2 linked regions of the Ovis aries genome follow. The protein of the gene in region 1 purifies or fractionates together with the protein of each later gene. This does not show direct contact. Links are inferred from orthologs where the notes say so. Each region holds a gene or a part of one and is shown in the gene's direction. Other genes may lie near its edges.

Evidence for each region.
Region 2: the proteins of NADPH--cytochrome P450 reductase (region 1) and EMC4 purify together in Homo sapiens (affinity purification with mass spectrometry; 3 studies listed by BioGRID and IntAct, with this or other methods). This does not show direct contact. The link is inferred for Ovis aries from reciprocal best matches to the Homo sapiens genes POR and EMC4.

Annotation. Positions count from the first base shown.
Region 1 is NC_056077.1:34,650,952-34,654,757, forward strand, and holds part of NADPH--cytochrome P450 reductase, read left to right. Parts: intron 1-1,296; coding exon 1,297-1,446; intron 1,447-1,875; coding exon 1,876-2,000; intron 2,001-2,390; coding exon 2,391-2,480; intron 2,481-2,827; coding exon 2,828-2,926; intron 2,927-3,806. UniProt on the Homo sapiens protein: This enzyme is required for electron transfer from NADP to cytochrome P450 in microsomes. It can also provide electron transfer to heme oxygenase and cytochrome B5.
Region 2 is NC_056060.1:26,583,303-26,587,818, reverse strand, and holds the start of EMC4 (ER membrane protein complex subunit 4), read left to right. Parts: upstream 1-1,493; 5' UTR 1,494-1,586; coding exon 1,587-1,672; intron 1,673-1,990; coding exon 1,991-2,105; exon of another isoform or gene 2,106-2,113; intron 2,114-3,754; coding exon 3,755-3,908; intron 3,909-4,232; coding exon 4,233-4,393; intron 4,394-4,516. UniProt on the Homo sapiens protein: Part of the endoplasmic reticulum membrane protein complex (EMC) that enables the energy-independent insertion into endoplasmic reticulum membranes of newly synthesized membrane proteins.

The DNA of each region.
Region 1 (3,806 bases):
GCCCAGGTGTGTCCAGGTGCGCTGCCTGCGGCTCTCCATGCTGCAGGCTCCACAAGCGCTGGGCAGGTGCCCACAGAAGGGACCTGGGCACCTCGTGGATTGGGTATGGCTTAAAAGATGACAGGGTCTCAGCAGGTCAGGAGAGGAACCGTCTCTCGTGTTCCCTCAACCCCCATCTCCTGGACTGCAGTGTCAGGGGGGCTGGACTTAGGAGCCGGGGGTGTGTCTGGACTCTAACCCCGCTCGCCCGACTGCCTAGGGGACCTGGCCTAGCCCCTCACTGGGGGCCTCATCTACAGGGAGGGGATGAGGGTGTTGGACGAGCCATCTCTAGGAACCCTGCAGCTCAGCTTTGCTTGGAGGCTGTAAACTCGTGTGTCTGGGCTTGGGGAGGGCCCAGGAGAGCCCGGGGATTGAGGGGAAAGCCCCCATTTGGGGCTACAGGATCCCCCCTCCCCCATCTCCTCCTTCAGCCGTCCTCAGCACGTGGCTCCTTCGGGCCCACACAGCGCTGTCTGTAGGACTCAGCCCCCACCTCCTGGCCTCAGCCACACCCAGCCTGTCTCTGAGGCCGTGGGGGCCAACTCACCCTGCTCACGCTCCTCCCAGCACTGGCTCCTTCACTGGTCATAGCTCTCCAGAGTGCAGGAAACGTCCAGCAGTCTGCTCACTGAGATGGCCAGGCCGGCAGCGCCAGGGGACACGGTGGGCAGAGAAGGGCTCGGAGTGGTCCTTAGGCCCCAGGAGAGGCAGGGCTGACAGAGCAGCTAGTCCTGGGAAGACGCCCCAGGGAGCGCCGTCCTGCTTCTCCCTGCAGGCTCGTGGCCAGTCATCACGTGGGCTCCAACGTGATGGATGAACTTCCTGAGAAGCCTTGTCTTCTGAGTGCCGGCTACTTCCCACCTGTGCCCCTCCTTCACCCAAACCAAACCAGCCCCCGCCTACTCCACACACACGCCCCCTTCGGTCTTGGGGATGGCACCACTATCCCTCTGTCTTAGGACCTGGGTTTTGAGTTGGCAGACAGTTGGTTAGGAATCACATGAGCTCAGGCCCCCCGGGACTCTGTAGGGTGCTGAGGTGCCCCAGAGGTGGCAGCGTGTCCCACGTGCCCACTCCTGGGCTGGAACCCTGCTGCTGCTCTCCACACCCAGGCCCTCACCGTGCTCTTCTGTGCCTGCTGTCCGTTCGCTCTTGAGAAGCACTCTGTTCCCCTGAGCCCAGGACTCGCCTGTCTGCACTTGGGGGCCGGCTCAGTCATGGTCACTTGGCCTGGCCCTGCCTTTGTCCCCCCAGGCCGACCTGAGCAGCCTACCAGAGATTGAGAAAGCCCTGGCCGTGTTCTGTATGGCTACCTACGGTGAGGGGGACCCCACCGACAACGCCCAGGACTTCTACGACTGGCTCCAGGAGACGGATGTGGACCTCTCTGGGGTCAAGTATGCGGTGAGTCACCCGTGTGGGCTCGTGTGACCTCCAGAAGCTTGTGTCCAAGAGGACACCTCCAGTTCTCACCTTGATCTGCAGAGCCTGGGCCTGGCAGGGAGCTTGTAGGCGGGAATCCCAGGAAGGGCTCACGTGGTGACCCTCTCTTCTGCCCAACCCGGCACTAAGAGCCCCCTTCCCGTGTCCCAGCCCCACCGTGCCCAGGGGCATTAGCTTCTAGAGACAAAAGGCAAGAAAGGAGGAGTGGGCTGACCAAGATTCGGCTGGGCAAGGGATCGGGTGGGGTGAACACCCTGCAGCTGCCAGGGTCCAGGCCAAGGTGGCCACGGAGGAGCCTGAGCTATGGGTCAATGAAACAAAGCTGCTCCGGGACCTCCCCTTATGAGGTGTCTGGCCGGACCCACTGACCCTGGCTCCTCATCCACACAGGTGTTTGCCCTTGGGAACAAGACCTACGAGCACTTCAACGCCATGGGCAAGTACGTGGACAAGCGGCTGGAACAGCTCGGGGCCCAGCGAATCTTTGATCTGGGGCTGGGCGACGACGACGGGAAGTGAGTCCCCCACCCTGAGCCCCACCCTCAACCCCCACCCAGGCTGTCGAGTGTCAGGAGCCACAGATTCAGGCTGGCCGGGGCCCAGGAGGGCAGGGCAGAGCCATAGTGTCCGCGCACCCCTGTGACCTGCCCCACCATGGGGAGGGAAGGCCAGCCCCCCATCACCAGGCCCTCCTTGCTTGTCCACACCCTTCCAGCTCACCCAGCTGACAGGGCTTCCCGTGGTTACCGCAGACCCTCTGGATGCTTCCTGCTGCCCTGGTTTACATCACTGGGTGGGCTGGTGTGAAATGAACCTTTGAGCTTGCGGGGGAGCCAGGGGACAGAGGGTCCAGGCCTGGCCTGGCAGCCCCATCTGGCCCCGGGCTCATCCCCTCTGGTCCACAGCCTGGAGGAGGACTTCATCACGTGGCGAGAACAGTTCTGGCCGGCTGTGTGCGAGCACTTCGGGGTGGAAGCCACCGGAGAGGAATCCAGGTGAGTGCGTGCAGCTGGTGCCGTGGGTGGGGAACCGGCCCGGTGGGCGCAGTGGGGCTGGGGGAAGCTCAGTCAGGGTGTGGAAAGGGCCCAGGCCCAGGCCCTTGGGCTTTGCCCGCACGTGAGGGTCAGAGTGGGCTTCCAGGCCTCCTCGGGCCTGCTGGCCCAGCTGCCCCACCTCTCCTACCTGCCCCGCACTCACACATCTCCTTCCTTGTGGGTCATGCCTGGCCCCGCGTCCCCCAGGCGTGCCCCATGGTCTCACAGCCTCACTCCCTCCTGGGGACCCTCCCCCAGCCTCCTGGCCCTCCCAGTCCTCAGCCTCACTCTGGGTCTCCCCGCTCCAGCATTCGCCAGTACGAACTCATGGTCCACACGGACATGGACATGGCCAAGGTGTACACGGGCGAGATGGGCCGTCTGAAGAGCTATGAGAACCAGAAACCGTGAGTCGAGAGCGTGGCTGGGGCCCAGAAGGCTGGCCGTCCCGTGTGTCTCCACGGGGCCTTTCCTCCCAGGCCCCATCCCGTGGTCTTCCTCGTTCCCTCCATCGGGAAGGGGCCTGGCTGGGGCCACCCACATGCCCATTTCCACCCCAGAGGAGGGCACGAGGCCTGGAGCAGAGAGACGGAAGGCTGCTCCGAGCCCAGGGCCCTGGGGACCCCTCCCCTCTTGGTGGTCCTTTGGTCCAGAGCGTGGCCTCGGGGAGACTGGCACTTGCTCAGTTTGTACTTCATTTGCCTGTTAAATATCCGGGGGTGGGGGATGCCCACCACTTCCTGGACCAGGATGTAGCAAGTTCAGCTCTGGGTCTAGGCTGAACCTTGACCAAAGGGCTCGCTTCCTTCAAATCTGCCTCCATATTTGGACCTTTTTGTCCGAAGTGTTCCTCTCTGGGGCCCCTCACTTGCACCTGGCCCCACCCAGACACCTCCTTGAGCTGCCCAGGAAGGTCCTCCTTGACCCTCCAGCAGCCCCACTCTAGGCAGCCCCTGCAATTGCAGCCAACAGCGCATTTCAGTGACTTCCCAGTGGGAAAGCCTGTCCCATGCAGCCCTGGGCAGTCACTCAGGACCCAGGCCCTTCCTCCATCTTATGGAACCACCTTCTTGGGCCAGGCCCTCTTTGTGCTCTGCCCACCAGTGGGTACCGGGTGTGGAGGGCCCCCAGGTTTCAGACCAGCATCAGTCTGTCTGTAGACAGGGACACTGATAACCCAGGTCTGCCCCCTTGCAGGTGTCAGGAGCACTACCTGGGCGGGGGCTGGGAAAGCCCTTTACCTCACTGGAGAGGTTTTCTCATGACCCAGGAGGCCAGCTTTGAGGT
Region 2 (4,516 bases), on another chromosome or scaffold:
TAAGACTGAGCCACTAGGCATGAACATGAGCACTCTAAAAAATTTATACCAAGCAGAGGCGTACTTTAAAAGGGAAGGAGTATATGACTTGAAGGACAATGGCAGCAATATTGGTTATAAAAGGGCAAAAAAAGCAGTAAGCAACTTAAATACCCGGTAATAGGTTTAATTATGATATAGGCATATAATTAAATATAAAACCCAATCACTAGGAAGAATGTTGGAGATTAGTGATGTTGAAAAAACACAGGACTTCCCTGCTGGTCCAGTAGTTAGGAGTCAGACTGCCAGGGTGAGGGTTGGGGGACACAGATTCCATCCCTCATTAGGGAAGATCTCACATGCCAAGGAACAACTAGGCCCCTGCGCCACAACTACTGAGCCCATACCCAGCAACTACTGAAGACGGCTGGCCCTAGAGTTCCTCCTGCACAAGAGAAGCCACTGCACCATCCCTGCTCCTCATAACAGAAAGGCCACATGCAGCAACAAAGACCCAGCATAGCCAAAAATAAATAAAATTTAAAATAAAATAAAAAACATGGAATGCATTTGTGGCAAGCACTCCGTTTAAACTCAGAACAAGCCTTAAAAGCAGGTTAGGCATGAAAAGGTTTGAAAACAAATAATCTGACTTGCCCCAAAGTCACACAATTAAGTAGCGAAGCCAGGACTCAAAGGGAAACTGAATCTCGAGCCCAAGAGTCTTAAAATGCCCACAGGCTTCCCAGGTTTTGTGCAGGGCAGGGATAGAACTATCTACGACGCATTGTTACTCTGAGAATTAAAGAATATAATAAACACAAAGCTCCTGGAATACGGTGGACATTCAACACTCAGAAGCCACTAAACAACTCGCTCAAAGTCACACAATGCGTGGTTTAACCACGCATATAAACAGAAATTTGAACTTGTGTTCCCAAGAAGACGTAGAAGTTGCAGAAGCACTTGCCTTCAACGCTTCCCTGGTAACTCAGCTAGTAAAGAATCTGCCTGCGATGCAGGAGACCTCGGTTCGATTCCTGGGTCGGGAAGATCCGCTGGAGAAAGGCTAGGCTACCCACTCCACTATTCTTGGGCTTCCCTGGTTGCTCAGCTGGTAAAGAATCCGCCCACAATGCGGGAGACCTGAGTTCCATCCCTGGGTTGGGAAGATATCCTGGAGAAGGGAAAGGCTACCAACTCCAGTAGTCTTGCCTGGAGAATTCCATGGACTATACAGTCCACGGGGGTCGCGAAGAGTCGGACACGACCGAGCGACTTTCACTTCACTTTCTTGGCTTCAACCTCTAACGCAGGGTCAGTATAGACTTTCCTCTGTCCCATAAACCGCACCTCAGAGGTCAAGTAACAGCCAGAAGGTCTCCACAGAAAGAAGAGAAAGCGCAACAGTCCCTGCAACAGTCCCTTTAGCACCAAGCTCACCAATTGGCCACGGCACAATTTCTGGGACGGAAGTGACGTCTATAGTTGCGCGCCGGAAATGGACTTACAGAGTGAGCCCAGGAAGTCGCCGAGGTATTTGGGTTTGGGATCCAGCTACGCTTTGGTCCAGAGCTTTGCCGCATTTGTAGGCGGCTGCTGCCATGACTGCCCAAGGGAGCTTGGTGGCTAACCGAGGCCGGCGCTTCAAGTGGGCGATTGAGCTGAGCGGACCTGGAGGAGGCAGCAGGTGAAGTGCTGGGCAAAGCTCGATATCAGAGCTTTCACTGTAGGACTACCCCAGAGGAACAGGACCTGAGCCCTCAGGCACAACTCTCTAAAAAGACGACTCCTGGGGAGCTGATGGCTTCTCTGCCTGGAGGTTTCTGTGTCCAAAGGATGCTTATTTCATCCTTCCCTGTAGGCCAGGATCTGACGAACCACGGGAGGGCTTGGTCTAATATAGGTAGATGCATCTGAGGATCTTTATTCCTATGATGAGAACAGGAAATGTGGGATACGAAGTGTGGGAGGCTACAGCCTTAGTTTTTTTTGGTTTGGTCTGTAGGGGCCGAAGTGACCGGGGCGGTGGCCAGGGAGACTCGCTGTACCCAGTTGGTTACTTGGACAAGCAAGTGCCTGATACCAGCGTTCAAGAGACAGACCGGATCCTAGTGGAGAAGGTACAGAGGTATAGATGTAACCATAGTCCTTGGGCCAGTTCTGAGCTACTCACCTACCTCCTCTTCCAGGCAGCATATGGATATCTTACTGAAGATGGCCCTTATCCCGAATATTTGGTAGCTAAACTGCTTGAGATAAGTGTTACATTAGTTGACCGTATCAGCTCCAAAAGTGCTAATTGGAAAAATAAAAGACGGTTGAACATAAGGTATAATAAAGTAGGTTGAAAATTATCAATTGGGGCAGCGCATTCCAGTTGAAGTCCTTTTTCTACTCTGGTACCCTTATACCACTCATCCAGTCTGTCAGAGTAGTCTGTTGGTTCAAATAGATTGAAAATCTTATTTCTTATTGCTTTACTCTATCATCCTGGTCTAAGTCACTCCGTCTCCTACCTCTTTCCCTTTTGTTCACTCCTGTCCCCAGAATGACCTCCTTGCTGCTGCTTAAATATGCCAGGCAACCTATTTCAGGCTTTTTGTACTTGTTCTTCCCTTTTCCCCCAGATCCCTTTATGATTTGCTGTCTCATCTCCTTTATGTTTCTCAGATGTTACTTTTGTAGTGAAGTCTACCCTCATGGCACTCCCTGTCTTATTTTCTTATATTTATCCATATCATTCATACATTTTACTGTCTCTTTTCACTGTTGCAAGCTCTGTGAGAGCAAGATGTTTGTCTCCCAAGTGCCTGCAACAGTGCCTGGCACTTTTTTCCTCTCAGCCTTAATACTGCTTTTCAAAAAGCCCCTTTGGCTTTCTTGATGTAGAGCAAATTTCATTAGTTTCTGCTCTCATTTTGATTTCCTTCCTTTCCATTTCCTTGTGTCTCTATTATTCATCTGATTTCTTGAAATAGATGCTTAGATATTACTTTTAGTCTTCTAATATGTATTTAAAGGTGTAAATTGCTCAAAGCTCTGGGTCTTACAGTTTTAATATATGGTATTTTTATCAGTTAATATTTGTATTTTCCACTGACAGTTCTGCTTTGATTAGTGGATCATTTAGAGCACATTTGTTCATTCTAAGGCATAAGAAAAAATTTCTAGTTATCTTTTTGTTACTGATTTCTAGCTCAATTACATTATAATCAAATAATATGCTTTGTATGATTTGAGAGTTACTGACATGTTCTCCATGGCTCAGTTGTCAGTTTTTGTAGATGTCCCATCTGTGTTTGAAAAGCATGTAAATTCTTTATCTGTTAGGTGCAGTGTTGTATGTCAGTTGTGTTAATAATGTCATTCACATCTTACATATCTTGATTTGTCTGTCCTGTTAGTAAATGAGGTGTGCTGATCTACCATTATGTGGATTTTATCTAGTTCTTCAATTGTAGATGGGACAATGATAGGTGCAGAAGTATAAGAACAAAAGTAGGGAAGTCCTTTCTTTACCTAAAGTCATGGGGGGGAAATGGTATCTGGAAAACCCATAGGGAAAAACATAAAATAGTGAGGATGCCTTATCTTTAGTAGATGAGCAAGGTTCCTTTGGCAAAGTGAGAGAATGGTAGAGGTGGTGGAATTGAGGAGTTAGCTCAGAAGCACAGAACTGGGAATTGTGTTCATTTGACTTTAAGGTCAGTGATATGATAAATGTGGGACTAAGGATAGTAATCAGTGGTTAAACCTGTGTTTGTTGTAGCGCTGCTGGGACATTGCCTTGGGTCCCCTAAAACAGATTCCTATGAACCTCTTCATCATGTACATGGCAGGCAATACCATCTCCATCTTCCCTACTATGATGGTGTGCATGATGGCTTGGCGACCCATTCAGGCACTTATGGCCATTTCAGCCAGTAAGTATTCTTTTTTTCTTGCCAGTAAGTATTCTTGAAATAATAATCCACCCTAACTAAGCTTTAAGAATCAGAGGCAAATTCTTTGGCAAAACCCACTGTAAATCTTTGGCAGAGCTTGCTCTTGGCTAGCTGCTGCAGGGTGGTGATGGCAGTGGTGGTGGCATGAGGGGAAAATGGTGCTTGTGGGTTTTTGTTCACCTTTAATGGTTCTATTGGCTGTCTTAGTATGGAGCTGTTTGTATTATTTATATTAATATATGGCCTGATTCATACTGAAGAAAAAGTTGTTTTGGTTTTTGACACTTTCTGTTACCCCAACAGCTTTCAAGATGCTAGAAAGTTCAAGCCAGAAGTTTCTTCAGGGTTTGGTGTATCTCATTGGCAACCTTATGGGTTTGGCATTGGCTGTTTATAAGTGCCAATCAATGGGACTGTTGCCTACACATGCATCAGATTGGTTAGCCTTCATTGAACCCCCTGAGGTAAGGCAAAAGGAAAGTTAAATTTGGAGCAGCTCTAATGTACAGTAAATAGCTGACCCATTTGATGGTGGGGGATCACAGTTGGTATTAGAGCTCATTTCTTAAATAAGATCCATTAGGAAT